Drosophila melanogaster: one gene and its partners. The protein of the gene in region 3 binds, or shares a complex with, the protein of the main gene of each other region. Each region holds a gene or a part of one and is shown on either strand. Other genes may lie near its edges.

Region 1 (6,880 bases), on a different chromosome or scaffold from region 3:
CATATTTTTTTGGGAACCCATGTTATACCTGACCTTTCTTGTTTTATATCAGAATTCCTAGTCAAACAAATACTTAACTTCTTATGCTAACCTTACAGATAACAATAATAATTAGTTCAATTCATTAGTTTAAATGCCTAATTTTTTCCAAAGATTAAACATTAAAAATTAACAAATTGTTTAAAACTCACGGAGCCTTTTAATGCTATAATCATTAATGATATTAATCTATTTAACAAACTAACACAATACCGATTCTTGAAATGTTTCTACACCTGATTCACAACATTTTCCATGAACACATGTACATGATACTTACATTAAATATACACGTACATGGTATATGAAAACCGTGAGTTTGTTGCACGAAAATAAAACTTAAAATAACTTCCCAAACGAACAAATGCACACGCACACACACACACACAAGCACACGCACTTGGAGAATAAAGTTAATTCATACGCTCTTACACCCATTTACTCGTTTGTACATAAGTAGTTACTTTGTTTACGAGCATTCGTATATACATATACATACATACATGTGTATGTATGCAGAATCATGAAAATGGTATCCACATACATTTAAGAGGAATTAATTCGTACATAAGGCTGTATACGCACGGGTATATACACACATTCAACAAATAAACGTATGCAGATCCATGGGCAGCATAAAAAGTGTAATCGAACGGCTAGAAAACATACCCTGCACCGAAATAAAATACATTTCGTGAAAAGTACTCACCCTAATATCCACTGTTAATTCTATGTATGCAATTCCTTTTGTTGCAGCGAGTGTTGACGTTGAGCCACCAGCAGCGTATGTATTACATATACATATCTCTTTCGTATTAATACCGAGAATCCTTGTGTTTTCAACAACAGTTTGATAAGTTTACCCAACTTTTTTTTTTGTAATGTCGTCCAGTCGACTTCAACTAGTAGTACGATTATGTGTTTTGGGATTATATCAAAATGCACAGCTAAAGTAAACCGTTTTGCGATAAACTCTTCGTTTACACATTGCAAATATGCATGACACTTCTATTAACTATTTTAGTTCACTGCGCTTATGCGAATTTCAACTATAGGTAAAAAATTCTTTATTTATCATTCAGCTCGTTTTAATTTTCGTGTGCTCGGGATCGCCATCTTTGTTCTCTTCGTGCGTCATCTGTAGCGTTGCGATTCGATAAGAATCGATAGTCCCTTCGATAGACGTACACCTCGACAACCTTAACGCACTGTTTACACCGTTGTCGTTGCGCGATAAACAGGTTACATTTTTTAACTTTGCACTTGAAAAAATATGTTTTTGAGACAATCAGGATAATTTATTTGTATAAAATTGCATTTTATACTGAAATTAAATAGAAAAATTCTAAAAAGAGTAGACTCTGTTATTAAGCTGTGCTATAATTTTAAATTAAATTCAGAAGCTTAAAACACGACGAACCAGGTAAATGGGTTGAAGAAATTTATATAAAAACTTAGTATAAGTGTAATAAGAAAAACTTTGGGTTTCAATAGCTATAACACCATTTGGAAAATCCAATTTTCAAATCTACTATAAACAACGTATAAGGAAAAATAAAGAAAAAATATTAGAAATGTGTTTTTATAATGGTATCATAGCTTCATACAATTTTACTAAGGTCCTCGTTTTTAGTCCCCATAAATCCAGGAATTATTTCGATATTCCGCTCTCTTAAGACATTCCCCGGACACAAATCCTAATCATAGATATTAACAGGTATATGAAAAGTTTATTGCATTGGAAAAACAGTTTGTTGTGCATTTAGCTCCATCGGTAATGTGCGTAGGCGCGGTTGCTTTCGCACAGCCTGTGCAGATCGTCCTTTCGCTTGATGACCCTTCCCTGGCCATGGGCTGCGTCGAGAATCTCCCAGGCCAACTTTTCCGGCAGGGACACCTTACGCTCCTTCTCGCGGGCAGCTTCCAAGAGCCACTTCATGGCCAGAAAATATGACCGCTTCGTGGTGATGGGAACAGGGACTTGATAGGTGACACCACCACGTTTTATGGCGGTCACTTGAAGGAGCGGTCGGCAGTTTTCAACCGCTTGTTTCAGAAGCGTTTCGGGATTGGTGTTTATGGTTGTCTTCTCCCCTTTGGCCAGATTCATGTGCTCCGTCTGGGTTCGTTTTATTAGCTCCAGCGTCTTGGACAAAAGCGTTCTGGCCAAGGCACTGTTCCCCTTTTTCGTTATATAATTGATCATTTTATGTTTTGTATCGTCGTGAAAGATGGTATCAGACGATTTGTTGACCGCCGCCTTGATGGGCACATGGTAAAGCTTGGACAGATCATTCTTTTGCTCTAGTTGTTTATATTTTTGTACAATTGGTTCGACATAGTGTGTGGGATACACCGACATCAATCGAAGGCAGCTACAATAAACAAATGGGTGATCAGTCATTTGTGTTTTTAGAGATAAGTAACACTTTAGAGAAGTTTAACTTACCTGAGCCTTGAAGTTTTCTCTGCAATCCTACCTAAAAGCGACATGTTTACATCGTCTGCTGTGTCGGCAAAAAATAAAAAAACTATGTTATATATATGTTATGCACATTTGCGGCATGCATATAGGTGTGTCAAGATATCGACAAAGAGCTTAGTAATTTTGAAACAACAAAAATGAAGTAAAACAGTTGCGGTATTCCAATTACATTTTTTAAATTAATTTCTTTAGTACCGTACTACTGGTACTCACCTTCAAAAGATATAAAATAGAAATTAATTGCACCAAAAACTCATAAGTTAATTAATAGTATATTAGCAGAAACGTTTGTCTCCGAACTCAAACAAAGTGATGTCTTAATTAATTGAAATCACTATAAAAAAAAGCGTGGAATTTTACAGTACACTAAAATTAACTTTAAAAAAATTAACAACATTTTTAAGATACAGCAATTCAATAAGTTGCCTGAATATTGAGTTTCATTCCCACATTCCAAATGAATAAATGTAGCTAGCTTAGCATCGTTTAAACTGTCTGGTAATACTAGAGCATATACGTCAAAAACGCGCTAATTTAAAAGTCGGTGGCTTGCAAAGAAATAGCTTAATAAATTATGGAGGATTTTGAGAAAATTGAGAAGATTGGCGAGGGCACATATGGCGTGGTGTATAAGGGTCGCAACCGCCTGACGGGCCAAATTGTGGCAATGAAGAAAATCCGCTTGGAGTCCGACGACGAAGGCGTTCCATCAACCGCGATCAGGTAAAATGCCGCGGCTTGGACGCCCAAGCCTCAAAATGTTTCATGTTCTTTCGCGACTTTTCCATTCAAATGGCTTATATGCTTAATTGAAAGTATGTTCCTTGACATCTTATGGGTTGGTTTGAAGATTTTGCAATATTGTTTTTAATTTATACTGTGGAAGTCTAGCATAATTATGTTACGGCTTATGTTCATCATACATATGTGTGTGTATGTACAATCCTATATGCGTACTTATGCTCATGTGTACATCATCATACTTTCTATTTATGTTTATTAATTGGAAGCCTGCGAATACTTTCTGGTTCAACTGATAGACCAATAACTAAAATACTTTAATCACATGTTTTTTCTATAATGTAGTAATATTTAATATCCATTACAGAGAAATTTCGTTGCTTAAGGAGTTGAAACATGAAAACATTGTCTGTTTGGAGGATGTTTTGATGGAGGAGAACCGCATATACTTGATCTTTGAATTCCTATCGATGGACCTCAAGAAATACATGGATTCGCTGCCAGTTGATAAGCACATGGAGAGTGAATTGGTCCGTAGCTATTTGTACCAAATAACTAGCGCCATTCTTTTCTGCCATCGTCGGCGAGTACTTCACCGTGATCTTAAGCCGCAGAACTTACTAATCGACAAGAGTGGCCTCATAAAAGTCGCCGACTTTGGACTTGGCCGATCCTTTGGCATTCCGGTGCGCATTTATACGCACGAGATTGTTACCTTGTGGTACAGAGCGCCGGAGGTGCTACTGGGTTCACCCCGGTATTCCTGTCCCGTCGATATCTGGTCCATTGGATGCATATTCGCGGAGATGGCAACGAGAAAGCCGCTATTCCAGGGTGACTCGGAAATTGACCAGTTGTTTAGAATGTTTAGGTAACCACAGGTAATTTACTTTCTATTCCCTGTGATACTCACACTCATTGATTGCAGAATTCTGAAAACACCTACCGAAGACATTTGGCCGGGCGTTACTTCGCTACCCGACTATAAGAACACGTTCCCCTGCTGGTCCACGAACCAATTGACCAATCAGTTAAAGAATCTCGATGCGAATGGTATTGATCTCATACAAAAGATGTTAATCTACGATCCAGTTCATCGCATTTCCGCCAAGGACATTTTGGAGCATCCCTATTTCAATGGTTTTCAATCGGGCTTAGTTCGAAATTAACGTTCGGTATTCTCGTTTGACTTTAACTAAGAATTTTAAAACAAGAGATCTTGGTATCTAATCTAAAGCAAAATAGCCGTAAATAAAACTAAGGGTGTAAAACAATCAACGTTTACTTAATTTATGTAAGTGTATTTACAGATTTACGCCAAATTACCAGCGCTCTAACAGAATAATAAGGCTTCAAGGCTTTAATTATTATACAAAAAGAAAGTTAAATATGGAAATCCTCGTTGAAACTAGTCCTATTATAGAGAGCACTGCTAGCACCGCTGTCATGACGTCTAAAGACGCCAAAGCAGCCGCGCCTCTTCATCACGTAAGCACCAATGATGGTCGGCACCGCGATGAGCAGGACAACCAAGAGTCCAACCCATATAAGACTGCCCGTCGAACTTTCTATCATATGTTCATTCGCCACTCTGAGCAGCGTAACATCGTTTAACTTGTTCGGACCGCCACATTTGACATCTTTGGCCAGAACGGGCGTGGTCTTGTTGATTCGATCTATCAAGACGTTGATCAAGAAGTCATTGGATTCGTCGCAATTCCACGGGTTGAATCTAAGATCCAGAGCCTTAAGTTTATCCCAGCGCACTAGTAGTTCTTTCGGCAAAGTCGACACGTTGCAATTATTCAAGTAAACCTAAAAGTTTATGTTATTTAGTTGATTAAAGCTCTACATGCTTTTGCACTTGAATTACCTTTTCCAATGGCGGGTAGTCCAAGTACTGGCCACCAGTTACGTTCTTGGATAGAGCCTCCTCATCAATTTCATTTAGCAGTTTGTTGTCGGACAATATCAGTTCAGTTAAACCTAAAGAAAGATGGTTGTTCGATTAAGCCATTAGCCATTAGTGCGCGCAGGTTCACAACTTACTTTGCAGTTCACTAAATGCTCCTGGCCCAATTTTGTACAACTTGGACATAAAAGTCATGCTGAGGTGGGTCAATTTGGTCAAAGGTGGAAATACACTGAAAAAATTAATAAATATATTGTTTTGCGCATACACTTAAACGAATCCTAGAATGACTCTTACTTGTCGCCAATCAAATTTTCGATGGGATTTTCGTTTAAGACCAGGCTGGTCAAGTTCGTCGCATATTTCAGGGCCTTTGGCAATTGATTAAACAGATTGCCAGCTGCTATAAAGATCTCAAGATCTCGGGGACCATGTAGAATTGTATCCGGCAAGTCATCGATTTCCATATAAGAGACATCCAAGATCTAAAACGAACAACATAAACGAGCTTTTGAGTTCGTAGAATTATAAAAACATATGAATTTCGCATACCTTCAACGATTGTAAGCCGGAAATGGCTGTTTCTGAAAGTTGATCGATGACATGAAAACTATTTGAGCAGAGAACGAGTTCCTCAATGTGGGGAATGTGTTCAAACAGATCCGCATCCAAGCTATGCAGATCGTTGTATCCCAAGTTAAGAGTCTTTAGATTTTCCAATGACTCAAAATCTTGGACAGTGAAGGGTCCTTTAAAAACATCCGGTACCAGAACTTTCGAAGTCAATCGGTTATGCGACAAATCGAGTGTGACTAGTTCGGTTAAATTCTGAAAAGCTCCCACGGAAATTGAATCGATTTGGTTGTTAGCCAAGTACAAGTTCTCCACATCGTATTTCGGCAGAATTGGCACGCTGGTCAGATTGTTGTGCTCCAGATTGATTGTTTTGAACACAACATTGCCGTTGGTCAGATCCTCCCAGTCCTCGGCGGACAACCAATCCTGCAGTTTTTCGGAGCAATCCAGCAAATTGGTGTCGATATAGCAATTGCACTTCTTACACAATTTGCTATCAATTACTTTGATTTTTTCCTGCAAGTAGTGTGTATTATATAGCGAACTAAATAACTAATGATTACCATATAGTTAAATGTTTCTTGGACATAGCTTTGCCATGTCTTAATATGTCGGTTTCGTTAATTTTTAGATGGTTAATTTTACCTTCGACAAACATAGAAATTAAATTAAATTTTATTGCGATTTTTAAACAACTTATTTATATTACACACTGTTCTCATTTTTTTTTAAATTTTTTGTGTGGTGAATTTTTCGGTCTTTCTTTGAGTCATCTTTATCGATTTAGCTTTGCAAGACTTTTTCTTATCACGAATTTGATAGTGATACATATAATTTAGTCATTCTATTACTTTCACAAATATTTAACACAATTTAACATAATCTGTTCACTAATTTACAGCAGTATGCACATATCTTTTTAGTTAAGTTGCACAAATGATATTTGAAATCTAACTATATGTATCAATTCCATTGGTAATGTAATCGGCTTTATTATTCAGTTTACAATTGCATTCGTAATACGCACACCCACACCAATTTCAGAAAATTAAAAATTAAACACTTTATGTGGTACCTTTGGCGTCTCGGTTGTGGTGGTTTCATCTTTCGTCTGCCCAGAAACTTGG
Region 2 (10,478 bases), 3.7 Mb from region 3:
CCTGCGACACCTCAAAATGTCTTTTCGACGCCCCCGATGGAACCCTTTGTTGAAATTGAAGAGTCTAACATCGTTACATGCTAGCCTGCACTTCACGGATGAAGGTCTTTATAAGGATTTTATAATCAGCCTAAGCGATTTGCCGCACCTGAAGAAATTGAAATTGGAGGCGACATCCTACACGGGCGACGGACTACGTGCCCTAGATAAATTGGAGTACCTGGAGATTGGCAACCAGCGTGGATTTGATGCGAGCATTTTGGCCTCGTGCTGTATGACAATGAAGAAGTTGTGCCACCTTAACATGGGTGAAAACACCGCCAATCTCGAAGCGGAAGACTTTCGGGTAATTGTGAGAAGGGGAAAAAATCTGGAAAGTCTCGCCTTTTCGTTAATACTTTTGGAAGGAAATGTACCCTACGATACTGTCCACCAGCTTCCCAAATTGAAACACTTGCAGTTGTGGTATCGGGACAATAAATTTATCTCGAAAAGTTTCATCGAGAAACTCATTCAAAAACCGGGCACTCCGTTGGAAAGTCTAATTTTGATGGGAAATACCCTGAAACTGGAAGAAGTAGATGCTATCTGCGAGATATCTTCACTTCGGGAGCTGTTTGTCTCATGCAAAACAGATGCAGCAAGAAGTTTTCTACGTCTAAAGCATTTAGAAATCTTGGACGTGAAAATGTTATATGTTAGCAACGATGAGTTGCTTGCGCTTCTGGAAGAATGTGCTCTTTTAAACGTACTTAGTGTCCGGTTTGCCAGGGAAATCACCTTTGAATTTGTGTTAAAAGCTTTAAGTTTGTACAGTCACAGAAAAATTAAAATCTATTTGCACGAATCATCTGTTGATTGGAGCCTTAATCTTCCGGTTCCGAAGGGCAAGAGGAACATTCAGTTCATTAACGGCTATTTAAAGAGTCCCATATTGATGAACAAAGATACTAATGAATTAGATTAATTACAAACGAACAGCATTTTTTGTTAGTTAATAAAAAAACGTTTGACTTTCGCCAAATATTGCCTTACTATATTGGTAATTATTATTTGACCCTGTAAGGTATTTTATGTATATTTCCAGAGCTGCTGGGGCCAACGATATTATACAATTGTGTAACTGCTAGTCGGTTGTCCTGCTACCTGGTCTCCAGGACATCGAGATCGCAAAGGTCAGCATTTGTGTGCAGGATCAGAATGTTGGTTAGCTCATTGTGTTCGTACTTCTTTGGGTTCCTAACTGATTTAGTTTTTAGGCCGGCAGTTGCGAAATGTCTCGTGCAAAACAATGCAAAATCCGATACACCTTTTCTTTATTTTCTTAGGGAGGCGCAGCTGCTCTAGAAAACATACTCTTCCGTTCACAAAATAATCGTGGCAAGAGTCATACATACATACATGTATGTACAATGCTGAATTAAGTCAAAAACAATACATATTTAATAGTTATGACAAATATTTAAGCCACCACGTTATGTTGTTATATTCTTAAACTTAAAAGGGTTAAGAAATCAGGATACATATTTTTTAAGAAGATTAGAAATCAAAACAATTACCATAACTGTTAACAAATTCACCTATTATTTATTATAATGAATGTTATATTTGTATTTTCTATAAATATCTCACAGCCCCTCCCATTAGAAATTCATAGGGAAGACGTATGGCGTATTTCGTTATATCTTTCTAATCGTGAAAGTCATCCGAATTGATAAATATATATACTTTTGTATTTACACTAACATATTTTTTATAAATGGGTAGCATCGTTAGGCGTATTGAAAAGAAAAAGTTTCGCTTAACTTTTTTTGGGTTTTCCACTGACAGCCAAATAATAATAATCGCAGTAGCCGAAATAAAGCTCTTTAAAAAGTTAATTAGAGAGTTGCTGCTCTTAAATTTAACGCGGTGGTTGTTGTTAATTGTGTACTTTCTGTTGCATGCAGTTCATAATTTGTTCAAAACTTCGAGCGGCCACTTTGTTTGAAAGGACTTTCGAAAAGGGGAAAAGTTTTTTTTCCTGTTTCGATTTATTTCTGGGACAGAAACGATTTTTGGAGCCACTCGAGACCGAAAGTCCAAAAGCCTAGCCATTTTTTTTAATTGTAACCTAAACATTTTTCCAAGTGTCCTAATACGTCGATTATTTAAACATTTCATCAAAAACATTACGCTTTCTATTTAATTATATTTTGATAAACAGTTGTTTAATTGATTTTTGTCAAGTTCGCTTTGCAGTGAATTCTTAATCTTAATCAAAGCAACAGTAATAACAACTTAAGCGATTACCGTGGACATAATATATGGATTATATATATGGATATAATACATATATATTCGATTAACTTCAAAACAATGCTTACAAACCCATGAAGAACTTATTCCAAACCCTTTTTATAAACCTTTAATATGTATTATTGGTTTGATCTCTAAAGCTTAGAACTAAATAAATATGCACTCATTTTTAAAAACTATGCAAAAACAATGGACTTCGGCAAAAATAAAAATTAACGTTATACACATTTTTAAATTTTGCGCACTGCTGGAGTTGCCAGTCCTAAAAAACAAACTTCTGACATATATGGCCACACTGTCGGCAAATGTCGATAGACGCCACGACCTATCGATAGCTGGACAGTGTCATCTCTAACATTTACGACGTGTTGACCGGGAAAAAATCAAAAGAAGCCAGCAATTGCTTTTAAACCACGAACCGCTGAACAAGTACGGAGTTTGTAAAATACTTAATATTAGCTAAGTCCGTGCGAGCGTAGCCAAACAAGGAAACTAATTCCAACGCTGCCGTGACACAAACTTCCGTACGAAATTGAAAGTCAAATGAATTCTGTACAAAACTGTGTGTGTGCGTGTAATTCAAGCGTCAATTTGTCGATGATAAAATTTGCCTGCGCCTAATGTACACATGTCTGCGTCTTCGTTGAGCATATGAGCCTGTGAATGTGTGCGTATCGGTGTGAGCGTCGAGCATAAGAAAGCAGCACAAAACAACAACAACGGCAGCAGCAGTAACAACAACAGCAAGAAGGCAACGACGCTAAGAGAAAGAGAGAAGGAAGGGAAGAGCAGAGCATAATCGGACTCCATTTTACAAGGCGAAAAAAGGAGTAGGAAAGAGCGCACCATGGCCAGTTTCCAGATCCACCAAGACATGAGCAACAAGGAGAATCCGGGCATTAAGATTCCGGCCGGAGTGAAGAACACCAAGCAGCCGCTGGCCGTAATTGGGGGAAAAGCGGAGAAAAATGCGCTTGCGCCGCGGGCCAATTTCGCCGTGCTCAATGGCAACAACAATGTGCCGCGTCCGGCCGGGAAAGTTGTAAGTACCGTTGCCGATTTCCCGTACATCCAGTGCCTAATTCCAATGCAGCTGCCTTTTTATATTTTTATGGTGGTGGGATCGTCACACCACTGCGACCGTGCGCATGTGTGAGATCTCCTAGTGGTGGTGGTGGTTTTCTCTCCCTTACCTCTCCCCTACCATCCCATCCTTTTCACTTCTCCATCTTACGTTACTCTCTTCTTAGAACGACCAATGCACTTACTTGCGCCTAACCTAGAACCTTAACTAACCTAGAAAAAGACACAGGCCTTGCAATTACGCGCCTTTTTGATGATTTGCAACAACAAAGCGAAGCAAGGAGGGCAAAAGCAATTGCGACATGCAACGCACACATGCGTATAGGTGCACACATACACACACACACGAGCAATACGGGAAGCCAGGGAAAGGCGCGCAACTTAAAGTTGGATCGATTTATGGGGGGGGATAATCATTTTATTTCTTTTTTGCTTACTATATTAAGGATGCATATGTAAAAGGAATTATCTTTGTGTTTTTACTTTTATAATCCCACTGCAATATTACCTAATATAAAATTATTACCTAATATAGTAAGTTGACCATATTGTTGAATTTGTCTTCTTCGTCTTCTGTTCCTTCCAGCAGGTCTTCCGTGACGTCAGAAATCTTAATGTTGATGAGAATGTGGAGTACGGCGCCAAGAAATCGAATGTGGTGCCCGTGGTGGAGCAATTCAAGACCTTCTCCGTGTATGAGGACAACAACGATACCCAGGTTGCGCCATCCGGCAAATCCCTGGCCTCCCTAGTCGACAAAGAGAACCATGACGTGAAATTGTAAGTTTCCATCTGTCACTTGGTAAGCCGCAAACAAACTTTTGTTTGTTTTTTTTTTCACTCCATTCAGCGGTGCTGGGCAGAAGGAGCTGGTAGACTACGATCTGGATTCAACACCCATGTCCGTGACGGATGTTCAGTCCCCCATGTCCGTGGACCGCTCCATTCTCGGTGTCATACAGTCCAGTGATATCAGCGTGGGCACTGAAACGGGAGTCTCGCCAACTGGAAGAGTCAAGGAGCTTCCGCCGCGCAACGATCGCCAGCGGTTCCTGGAAGTGGTTCAGTACCAGATGGACATTCTGGAATATTTCCGGGAGAGCGAGGTAAGCTAAACCAGGGACATAAACATAGGCTTCAATATGATATTATTAGATGACTTCCTCACAAAAATATTTCAAACTCACAAACTCGCTTTCATCGCGTAATCATTGTCAAAGACAATGATATTTTTTAACTAGTAACTGAAGTGGACAACTTTTATCAGGTCGAGTTTTCCTTGATTATCTTCCAGGGTATTGCAGTCATGTTTTCTGGCATAAATTTGGAATTTTTTCCCAAGGTATCTTGCGTTTTCAATGTGTTACTACTTACTTGGCCATGTGCATTGTACTTTTCTGTGCAGACGCAGGCAGACGTAATTTCTTAGGGGAAGTCGGACCCTGTCGCACCCTCCGTTGGCATTCCCTTCACGCAACGCTGCCTCTTTATGGGTTCATGGGTACACTTATTCCCGCTCGCGGGCACATGTTTGTTGGGCGGGAAGCGAAACGCTTGTCTGTCTGCGTCCGTCTCATCCTTTGTCGTTGTTGTTGACTCTCTTTTTCTCATTCGTCCAAAGTCGTAGAACACTCGGGGTACCAATGGAATTCGACTTGCAGAGGGAGGTTGACTACTATTGTAGTTTGTTTCCTACGTTAGTAAATAAAAGATTAAAAATTAAAATAAGTTTAAAAACTAAAAAAAAAATTAAAACCAAAAAAGTTTTAAAATTGATAAAGAATTTAAAAAACTAGAAAACCAAAACAAATAAAAAAAATTTAAAAATATTTTAAAATCGATAGTTAAATTACAAAACTCGAAAACAACATTAAATAATACAAAACAACAACACAAGGATTAGGTTTTGTCCAGAATGGGCGTATTCTTTATTTTCCCTTGATATTTCAGTTTTTACTAGAGATGGGTTTTTGTCTTTTTTTTTTTTTAAATTTTTAAATATTTGAAATGCTTTGTTTCCAACATGAACATTATAATTTCGTCGTGAAGATTCCCAACAAAGATTGTATTTTTAAAATAGTACAATGTTCTGGACGCCTATGGAAAGTTGCTGCACAAGAAAGTGAGGCAGCTTTCTAATCGCATCCAGCTCATTATTCTCGAATCGTCTTGGTTGGGAACTTCAATACAATCCCACTAACGTGAGTTCTTGTTGAACTGATCGTAAAAGTCATCGGAGACGGCATTGGTTAGGCCCACAAGGGCTTCCTTGCGCTGGCGATCCTGCTCCACGGCCAACTTGGAATTCGCCCGCATCAGCTCATCGAATTCCGCCTTACGTCGGCGATCATCCTCGATTTGGTGAAGGACCAGGGTGCGGTCCATATTAATGGAGTATTGCTCCCACTGTTTGTCCATCATCTGGGCCTCCGTCTTGCGCTGAATAGACAAACGAAGCTGCTGATCTTGTCCAAGACGAAACACGCGAAGTTCTTCGGGCGTCATGCCGCGATACATGAAGGCAATCTTCTTGTTCGGATCGGTGCGCGATTGAGCCACATCCGGATTTTCAGTTAGCATATCGCTGGAGAGCATGTTATAGATCTCGGCCATGTCATCCTCGTACTTTTCACGCTTTTCCCTTTCGCGGTCCAATTGCTTCTGCTTGGCCATGTTGATATTGAACTGACGCACTCGCTGGATGACTTGGTTGCGCATCTGGTGATCAGACTTGGCCATCTCCTGCAGATGCTTGTCTCTGCAACCAACGTTGTCCATCAACACATTATCGGCCTGCTTGCGAGCATCCTCCGCCCTCTTACGCTCCTGCACTTGCTGATCCAGCCAGGCTCTTTGCTGCTCCCGCTGCCGCTGCTTTCTGTCAGAGTTATAGAGGTCCTCGCCTTGAAAGATCTGGGCACTGGACACGCCCAGCGAAATGTCATTGTCGGCGACTCTTGTTGGACGTGCCTTCTTCAAGAAATTCGGATCATTTAGGTCGAATTCGCGGCGCTGCTCCTTGCGCTGATAGCGGCAGCGATAATAGTTAAGATCCGAGTCCACCACACGCTGTTTTTTCTCCAACTCCATTTCCTGGGCCAGGATCAGACGCTTCTGCAGCTGCTCCTGTTCTTCAAATTTCTTGTCGCACTCCATCTGGGCGGTTCGCTGCTTCTTTTTCTCAAGTATTTGGCGATCCAGCATTTCTAGGTCGAGCTGTGAATAGGAATATTCGGCAATGAAGCTCACCCAGTCTGCAGATGCATACTTACCCCGTAAAGACGCTGTTTGGCATTAAAAATGCGCCGCTTCCGCTCATCTTCGTACTGCTCCCGCTTCTGCAGCTTCATCGCCTCGTCGAGATCCTGCTTGGTGCATATACCGATTTTGAGCGTCATTGTGCCGGAGTTAGTTATAAAAGATGTTCAACTGTATTCGAGGTCGATATGTCTGTCTCTTCTTGTTAGTAGGATGTGGATATATGCCTGAGTTGACTTTGTTTGCCCGGTTGCTGGGTGCTTTGTTTATTGTTTGCCTCTACTACTACCTCTGTAACCTACTAGTTACAGACTATTTACATATATCTATAATAATTTCATGGGAGTTAACTGCCTTAATATAAAACAAATGCTGATGTATGTACATATATTCATGTCAATCGAATTCTTTAATTTTTGCAGCTCGAGTCGCTTGACGGTTCCAATAATCGTTAAAGCGACCATAAAATAATCACCTAATGTACATATTGCCCATATATATGTACATATATGTAGGTGTTTGGCAAAGAAATTTAAGTTCGAACTGGGAATTTCGATGCGACTCACGTACTACGAAATAACCAATAAATAAATAAAAATCGGTTAACTCCCTCCCCCAGCTGTTGTTTGCCACTTCTCCTATGGTATTTATACGCTTGATTTGATGACTGTACGGCTTTTTCTCCCGTGAAATTTGTACATTTTTGACACCTTCTTAAGATGAAACTGGGAACGGGTAGTTGGTTGCCAGATTAGAGTGTAGAAAAGGCATAAGCTATATATATGCGAATCCTAACCTAAAGTATTAAAAGTTTGGCTTAGTAATTTTTGTTAGGCCGGGTAATCTAATCGGTTTCTAATCATTTGTTTGCATGTGTTTGCATCTTCCAGAAGAAACATCGCCCCAAGCCACTCTATATGCGCAGACAGAAGGACATTAGCCACAATATGCGCTCCATCCTTATTGATTGGCTGGTTGAGGTTTCCGAGGAGTACAAACTGGACACGGAGACGCTCTATCTCTCGGTCTTTTATCTAGATCGATTTTTGAGCCAAATGGCGGTGGTGCGCTCCAAGTTACAGCTGGTGGGCACGGCAGCTATGTATATTGCCGCGTAAGTATTCTTGATAGTCCGGTAATAATGGTGTGTGTATTCATGGGGTTTATTTTTTTATTTTTCAGAAAATACGAGGAAATCTATCCCCCAGAGGTCGGTGAGTTTGTCTTCCTCACCGACGACAGTTACACCAAGGCGCAGGTGCTACGCATGGAGCAGGTTATCTTGAAGATTCTCTCCTTCGATCTGTGCACACCGACTGCTTACGTCTTCATCAACACCTATGCTGTACTTTGCGACATGCCTGAGAAGCTGAAGTACATGACGCTGGTAAGCTATTGCCAATACAAAAGAAAAAAGAAACAAAGCCGAAACTTAACTTAATGTTTACCTGACACAGTATATTTCCGAGTTGTCGCTCATGGAGGGAGAAACGTACTTGCAATATTTGCCATCACTTATGTCATCCGCTTCAGTCGCACTGGCGCGTCACATTTTGGGCATGGAGATGTGGACGCCAAGGCTGGAGGAGATCACGACTTACAAGCTGGAGGACCTAAAAACGGTTGTGTTGCATCTGTGTCACACCCACAAAACGGCAAAGGAGCTCAACACGCAGGCCATGCGGGAAAAGTACAATAGAGACACGTAAGTCGCAAACACTAGATAGCCGAAGAATGAGCCCGTGTTGACCAAATGTATTTCTTAACAGTTACAAGAAGGTGGCTATGATGGAATCCGTTGAGATGAGCAAGGACGACTTCGATCAGCTCTGTGAGGCTTACAATTGCAAGCAGAAAGAGGATGAGCACCAGCAGCCGGATATTAATACTAAATCGAACGTGAATTTGTTTTATAAGTTTTAAGTGTTTTGAGCCGCTGTCATGGCCAAATTGTATATTAGTTTAGTGTTTCCATGTAACATTATGTAGTTTTAGTTATAAGTGTACACAATGGATCAATTGCAGTTCGGTCGCAGTCAGCCAGTCGTATAAAAGCTTCGCATTGGTTGGCCGATTGACAAGCTCCCGTTGCAAGTGCCGGACAATTTTATATGTAAGCCATATAAAAGATAGTTGCCAAAATATACGCGCTTAACAACATTCGCGTCTGTCCACGGTGAGAGCTTGTCATGCCAAGCGGGAGCAGTAAGAACTTCGGCAGTCTTAAAAACTATCCGATTAGCCAATTGAAATTGGAGGAAGCCACCGGACACAACATATTAGTGCTGCTTATGCTAACGATATTTTATATTTCAACCTCTTTATGTTAAGTATGTATGTTTTCGTGTTTATAAATTGAACCATACTAACGTATACAATGTGTCTAAAGCAGAAACAGCTAGCTTCGAGAATTATTTTACCATATTTATATATTACTATTTACTCCGTAAATGTTCTGTGAACTCCAAAACAAATATATACACAATTTTAACAAAAGACACCAACCGCCCAGCCAGGACGGAATAAAAAACTCACACTGATCGTGCTCAGAACGGCAGGCAGCCGTGGAATGTTGCTAAACTCTTGTTCTTGTAATCTTGTAATCTTATACGCTTACTAAATGTTTACTAAACTTAGTCTAGACCATCTTGCGACCACATATGTAGCTAGAATAGAGCGCTGCCGAAATGCGTACAGCCAGATGATGGGTCTTACTTTACACTTAGGTTTATGCTAACTAATCCATTTAGTTTGATAATTCCATTGACCATCGCATCGAGTGTTTTGTGCTCGCCAGCCGAATATTACCTAAATATCCAATATTAAGAATTCAATAAAACTTTGAAAGATGCAAGCAAAAGAGGTGGTTGTACTTGTACCATTATTTGTGTGTCACGTCGTTGGGTCAAACAAAATAAATAAATAAACCCAGAAGTAATATTCGTTATTTCAATTGTATACATTACATTTTTGAAAGAATTATTAACCATAGCCGCTCTAACCATTTGATTTTTTATAGCTGCGTCACAAGTACATGCGGGAGCTGGCCAAGGGAGACTCCGATTGGCAAAGAATGGTGGAGATGCGGTTTTTGGCTCCGTACCTGTGCCACAAGTAAGGGAGTCTGAGTGGTCATTATTATTATTAGAAAACCTTCTAGCTCTTATAGTTTCTGAGATCTCGACGTGGACATGGTTAGATCAACTCGGCTATTGATCCTGACCAATAATATATGTATATACTTTATCGGAAACACTTCCTTCTTAGATAGATTACTTTTCAAGGAATCTATTATGTGTATCCTTTTACTCTACGAGGCACGGGAATTTTATATCTCGGAATTTAGGCAACGCGCGAGCTCCCCAGTGGAGGTGCATGAGCTGACTGCTGCGTTTGAAGAGATAAGCATGGTGCCCCCAGGCAGCCCAATTAATCAACCGATTGACTCGAATCCCCTGCCAGTGGACCATATAAGCCCCGCTACGTCGTTCCAGGAATGCCTGAGGGCGACTTTTCGCTTCTTGCAGAGCACGGTGTATAAGAAAGAGTTGGATTCGGCCTTGCTGGGTTTGGAACAACAATATATACTGAGATTAGGAAAAAGCGCAAAACAACAACAACAGCAGCAGCAACAACAACAGCAAGGAGGCAACGAAATTTCATGATTTTTGTGGGATATCAATAGATATTGGTTCCCAATAATTGAAGTATAAAATAAGACAAAATCCTTAAATTGTTAATTTTTCTTTTCCTTTTTATTAACTGTTTTAGGATAACAATGAATGCCTGAATAACAGTGAATGCAAAGCCCGCGATTGCTTTATAATCGATAGAAAACT
Region 3 (5,402 bases):
TCGGCAGGTTTTAAGTTTTTTAAGTATTTTCTTTGGGGCTTTGTTCGCGTCTGATGTCGTCAGCAAAATAATAATGCACTTTGTGCGCTCATTTTAAACTCTCTCTCGCGCTCTTTTCGGTTTTCGCTCTGTTCGCCTTGCACTTGCAGCTGTCGAACAGCTGATTGAAAATACTATCTCTCTCGCACACACTATTGCAAAATCAATTTCAAAATCAAGGTCAATGGAAAAACTGATTTAAAGAAAGTAAAAGTCGTTGGCTAACAGCGCTTCACTTCGCACAGCAAACAACTAAATTAATCCTAGCTTAAATCACTTTTAAAACCATTTAAATATGCGGTTTTAGGTGAGCAAAACTCGCCTTGAAATTACGAAACAGTCGCGAAAACATTATTATGTGTAAACTGCTCAACTGTTGGGAAGCAACTGAACCTGGCCAAAACAAACCGAATTCCTCTAGCCAACAAAAAGGTGCTCACATGAGCTTTAATTATTCTGAACATTAGATGTCGGAAACTGGCTTTTATGACTAAGCACATCAAAGTTTTGGCCACCCGGCCTTGGGGGTTCAAGAAACTTTAAGACTCTTCACAAATTACTTATGTCTTGTACATCAAATAATTTAATTGCATATATTTGTTTATTTATATTTGTACACTGTTTAAAGGTGTATTAAAGTCACGATTCGGCAAAAAAAAATTTAAAATATATTTCATTAGCTATCATAGCATTTTTTAATTTACATTTAAGCTCGAATTAAACCGCAGGACATTTGAAATCACTAGTCACAGGATTAGGCACCAATCACTAGACCAATTACTTACCAGATCCTTGAGCTCAGGATGAGTGACACTGGAAGTAATAGTCAGAGACATGATTTCACTAGTTAAAATTGTTATTTATTTAATGTGTCGCTTTTAACATTTAAAGCTGAACTGATGCATCTGCAGAAAGGTCGGTCCAATTTATACTGCCGCCTCTCCCGCTTTCTACGCGAATGTGGAGAGTGCCGCGCTATCGTTATCAATTCTCCCGCTCTTCAGTCTTCTGGCGGCCGGCCCCGTCTCTTTCTCCCTCTCCCGATTCTACGCTGATTAAAACTGCGCAGCGCTACAGGTTTCTTGGGGCCACAATTGATCGTACAGCTGGGACATTTGATCAGGGTTATAATTTAATTGCCTTTAATATTCTAATTTGAACAAGTCAAGTGCAGTCTTTTGTGTTCTCCGGATTGTGGACTAACTGTTATTTGCCGGGCTCGTATTTTAGCCGGCTCAAACGCAAAATGAAGTCCAACAGGAACATTTGTATTTTTATCTCCTTGGGATTCTCGGTGACATAGAAGCCGGGAACGCCGGCCTTTTGAAGTGTGGATTGTTGGTCATTAACCTGCGTAATGATATTAGATATTAGTTCAACATCAAGAAAAAACAAAGAAAGTTAAAGTAGTAAAATCTAATTTCGTATTCCCATATAAGCATTTAAAGTTATGATTAGAAATAATTTGTATTACAAAAGAAAATATCTTTAGTGATAATTTCATTTCAATTATAAGAATCTGCAGATAAATATATACCTAAAATATACCTAATCTATAGATCCATCCATAATCAAACTATGTATCATATTTGAATTTAATTTTAAATAGGATTAGGATTATCTAAGTTTGAGATTCGACTATTGTTTTTAAAGAAATTTGGATGGTAAGACCAACTAAAAGTGCGTGGAATGGAACGACTCAAAAGGATATTGAATTCTTCACCTTTTGATCTAGTATTTCGATAATCTTCGTATCCGACTCGTGTAGTTTCTTAGTGTGCTTTATTTTCATGAGTCCCAAAATGTGGCGCAACTCCTCGGGATCCTTGATCTTGCTCCTCCACTCGGCCACTTCTATTTCATACTCGTTCTCCGCCTGCATCCGTATTTTAATTAAGTGTCTTTCGGTTTCGTGTTGCAGCTCCATTAATGCTTTTACTATTACAAAAATGCCATCGTTTAGCACACAATTGGCGAGTTCGGTGAGTAGATCGTAGGAAATGCGTGTCTGCAAGTTTCTGTTAATCAAAAATGGCGTTAAATATTTAAATAAACTAAATATCAAGGACTTACTCGGGAAGTTCCGAATGGTAAGTTCGCAATTGGTCCACCAAAAAATAGATTTTGCGTTGTAAAAACTCCGGAGTTGGCTGCTGATACTCCACTACTGCCTCACTAGTGTTCGCACTACCTTCGCTGGTTGCCGGTATGTCCGCCATCTTAACTAAATTGTGATTTCCTATTTATTTACAATAATTTGTGTAATATTCCCAAGTATTTGTGTTTTTAGTGATGTTTTGTGCAACCGCACTCCAATTTCGCCTCTTCGCCGCACGAACAGCTGAGCGCCAGGGCTGCAAACTGCAGCAGCAGCAGTGTGACCACAATCAGTTTGGCTGCCCACATAACGGTAAGTCAGAGAAAGACGCGGAAAGTAAAATGTTTCAAAAGTATTTATATATATTTTTGTTGTATCAGAGCGTGAAAAGAATTGTGACTGTACGATTTGAAATCAATGATGCTTATGACTAAGGTGATTACATCGGTTCGTATTATGATTAGAAGTTCAAAGATTTGCGAGCCTTGATGAAATTCTTATCAGCCTCGTAAGTGTACATGCGATTCAGTTTGTTTTTGCGGCGCTTTTTGAGTTCGGTTTGGAACTTTCCGTGTCCTGAGCTGCTGGGGGTGGCTGGTACCAGGGAATACTTCTTGCTGTCCAGGGAGTAGCACTCGCGTTTTCCGAACTCATGCTGCTCCTTTGGGGTTTCCACGATTTTCAGGCTGTTCAGGCGCTGCAGCACTTGGTTGGTTTCATTTGTCGACGACATAATAACTGCTAGGCTGGCTGATCAGGAAGTTAATGTGAAGCTTGACGTTGCTGATTTGCTACTGATTTCCTTTTGCCCACGGCCTTCTTTATATCCACTTGAGTGTGCAATTTCAGGACTGCCATAAATATCTGCGCGGAAAATACAGCTTATCCGTTTTCCACATCTGTCACTTTTATGGTGCTACCTGCTCATAATTAAAATTTCCGCAGAAAATTCTCGCTAATCCCTTTTTAATGCGTTCAGAATTACGCGAGCAGGTAGTAATGGGTTTTAGTCTACCGCCATAAAGTCCGCCTTTTACAAATCGCAATAAATTAGAAAGGAATTCGTAACAATTTCCAAATTTGGTGTTTAAAGTGCATAACTTTTTAATGGAGTATATTAATTTCTTACTTTATAGATAATAATTCCTTAAAGATAATATAAAAATATAATTTATTGGATCTCCAAATGCTTTCAATTATATTGGATCTCTAAATGCTTTCAATAATCCAATCTTTTAAATGTAGCCTCTAATCAATTAATACGCTTTTAAAAAAACGCGCGCAGGTGAAAGAACCCACTGCCGTTTTAAAGTGTGTACATACTGGCGAAATCATATGGTGGGCATACACGTGTATCGGTTGTACAGTTTATGCGTTAATCGACTTCGCGAACTACGAAACCTAAAGCTGATTGCTATTATAAAATAAAGACTTTACTAAACAATTGATAGTGCCCATTATAGTTGAAAGCCTAAAGAAATAAACGCTTATCAAATAAAATCACTGCCGTGGGTTACTGCCATGAAGAAATTATGATCTGCTGAAAGTCGAGTTGTCTGCCGCATGAACGCCCTAACATACGGCTCTTTGCGGGTGTCTCTCTTAACATTTCGTTATGCGATTTGAATGGGGCAGTTGCATTGGAGCCTCGTCCGCCGAACACAGAACATTACAAACGCGTTTCCAGGAGTAATTGTCGGTGATTTTAATCGAAAACAATTGATACGAGCGCGGTGCGGCAGCCATCAAAATCAAAGAGTGCTAAATCGGAATCACTGCCCTAAGTGAAGTGTATTGTGTAACCTTTTGAGACGATGACAATAGGCCAAAAGGAGGCGGCGTGGGGCAGGCTGGGCTGCCAATGATCATATGATTGCCTAGAGCGGAAAAATACTCAAAATCATAGCAGTCGGCTAGGCATTTCGTTGCCAGAAACGAAAACAACAATACGTAAATCGAAAGGACAAGGTATATTTTCAGCCGGTACTCCCCATCTCCCCACCACCATGTACACAATCAACAAGGGACCTAGCAAAATTGTTGCTAAAACGCGTCGCGGTGAGTCCAAAATATTGATAGTAATAATGGTTAATAATGCCACAATAGACCCTTTCAAGAGAACAGCTGTTATGTCACAAAAACATACTCTTTTCCTTTCTCTCTCTCTCTCTCTCTATATATCTGCCTCTGCCTCTCTTGCTCTCTGGCTCTGTTAACTTTTTGTTTTGCCGGCGTTTTCCACAGTAAATGCGTATTTTATAGCTTTCCATGGCATGTTTTCCATCCGCAGGCCTGGCACCAAATTTTGAAAAATTCGAAAGCATCAAGGAGAGCGGCCGCAAGAACGCTAGTTTCGATCTGAACAGTCCCGAGGAGCACAAAAAGTAAGAATGCCATGCTCATATGTAACCATACCCAAATCTTGGGTGCTTATGCAAACGGATGGCACATGGTGAAATGTGGAAAGCGGGAAAAGTGACGGGGGAAAACGCGGACTGGGGTTCAAGACCCTCGTCTTATCGCACTGACATTTTATCGCAAGAATCCGTGGCGACCTAGCACAGTAATGCTAATTGCTCCCGAGCAAGTAGTCTTATTCTCGCTAGGGGAGACCCATTGGAAACACGTGGGTCAGGCGTCGGTTATCGGCTCCATTTTAATTTAAATGCCCATTGAGGCCATTGAGGCATTGACTTTTCCACGTCCGTTACGTCACGGCTCCAACGTAACTTCGCGGCAATGCTCGGCACAGGTTGTGCCAAAACAAGGCTGATTAATTTACTTATTTTACCTGGAAGGGTGTGGAGTTATTCCGAATGTCTAACTGCAATCGAAACATGTAACTTCAGAGTAGAGTACTTATAGGTAATTGAAGAGTGTATCTCATTTCTTGTTTATTTTTATGCCTTTTATATCAACTGTATTACGCTTGCTGTTAAAAGTATCTTATGGATGCGAGTTTTCTAGAATTTCCCATAGCCATTTCAGCTGAAATCTGAAAAGTTCTCTATATAAATATTAACTTTATAAACTCCCAATTGTATTTAATTTCTTGCGATTGCTTTTATTTTTAGAACTTCAAGATAAAAATTACCTAACCCTTTGCCGAAATACTATTATCTAAATTAATAAACCACAAATCCTTGTCAGTCAATGGGATGGCACTGTTTACTATCTGCCACTGTAGATAGCTTATCAGTACTCATTGCTCTTATGAGTATATATTGAGTTTGTAATTTTTTCATCGATATGTAATTTTAACATT

Evidence for each region. Proteins that work in one complex are often made in the same cells at the same time.
Region 1: Z600 (region 3) and Cdk1 share a complex: the UniProt entries of both Drosophila melanogaster proteins name them as parts of the frs-CycA-Cdk1 complex.
Region 2: Z600 (region 3) and CycA share a complex: the UniProt entries of both Drosophila melanogaster proteins name them as parts of the frs-CycA-Cdk1 complex.

What each region holds. Positions count from the first base shown.
Region 1 is NT_033779.5:10,382,396-10,389,275, reverse strand, and holds Cdk1 (Cyclin-dependent kinase 1), read left to right. Parts: upstream 1-3,013; 5' UTR 3,014-3,098; coding exon 3,099-3,247; intron 3,248-3,632; coding exon 3,633-4,136; intron 4,137-4,193; coding exon 4,194-4,434; 3' UTR 4,435-4,537; downstream 4,538-6,880. Other genes in the region: mRpS7 (mitochondrial ribosomal protein S7), read right to left, coding at 1,802-2,414, 2,489-2,532; CG5096 (uncharacterized protein), read right to left, coding at 4,649-5,080, 5,139-5,251, 5,315-5,409, 5,475-5,662, 5,730-6,269, 6,829-6,880. UniProt on the Drosophila melanogaster protein: Plays a key role in the control of the eukaryotic cell cycle. Required for entry into S-phase and mitosis.
Region 2 is NT_037436.4:11,825,736-11,836,213, reverse strand, and holds CycA (cyclin A), read left to right. Parts: upstream 1-2,635; 5' UTR 2,636-3,145; coding exon 3,146-3,340; intron 3,341-3,967; coding exon 3,968-4,161; intron 4,162-4,231; coding exon 4,232-4,487; intron 4,488-5,369; exon of another isoform or gene 5,370-5,577; coding exon of another isoform or gene 5,578-6,597; intron 6,598-6,653; coding exon of another isoform or gene 6,654-6,779; exon of another isoform or gene 6,780-6,965; intron 6,966-7,024; exon of another isoform or gene 7,025-7,184; intron 7,185-7,529; coding exon 7,530-7,753; intron 7,754-7,821; coding exon 7,822-8,026; intron 8,027-8,096; coding exon 8,097-8,344; intron 8,345-8,408; coding exon 8,409-8,562; 3' UTR 8,563-9,131; downstream 9,132-10,478. Other genes in the region: CG43064 (uncharacterized protein), read left to right, coding at 1-967; CG7264 (uncharacterized protein), read right to left, coding at 5,578-6,597, 6,654-6,779. UniProt on the Drosophila melanogaster protein: Essential for the control of the cell cycle at the G2/M (mitosis) transition. Interacts with the Cdk1 and Cdk2 protein kinases to form MPF. G2/M cyclins accumulate steadily during G2 and are abruptly destroyed at mitosis.
Region 3 is NT_037436.4:15,506,592-15,511,993, reverse strand, and holds Z600 (Z600), read right to left. Parts: upstream 2,934-5,402; 5' UTR 2,871-2,933; coding exon 2,598-2,870; 3' UTR 2,481-2,597; downstream 1-2,480. Other genes in the region: MsrA (methionine sulfoxide reductase A), read right to left, coding at 825-875; gdl (gonadal), read right to left, coding at 1,246-1,389, 1,763-2,057, 2,113-2,258; gdl-ORF39, read right to left, coding at 2,326-2,445; CG7841 (uncharacterized protein), read left to right, coding at 4,144-4,195, 4,428-4,521. UniProt on the Drosophila melanogaster protein: Cell cycle regulator that is involved in modulating and adjusting cell proliferation according to the requirements of the developmental program. Interacts with mitotic Cdk1-cyclin complexes to inhibit mitotic entry at the G2/M transition.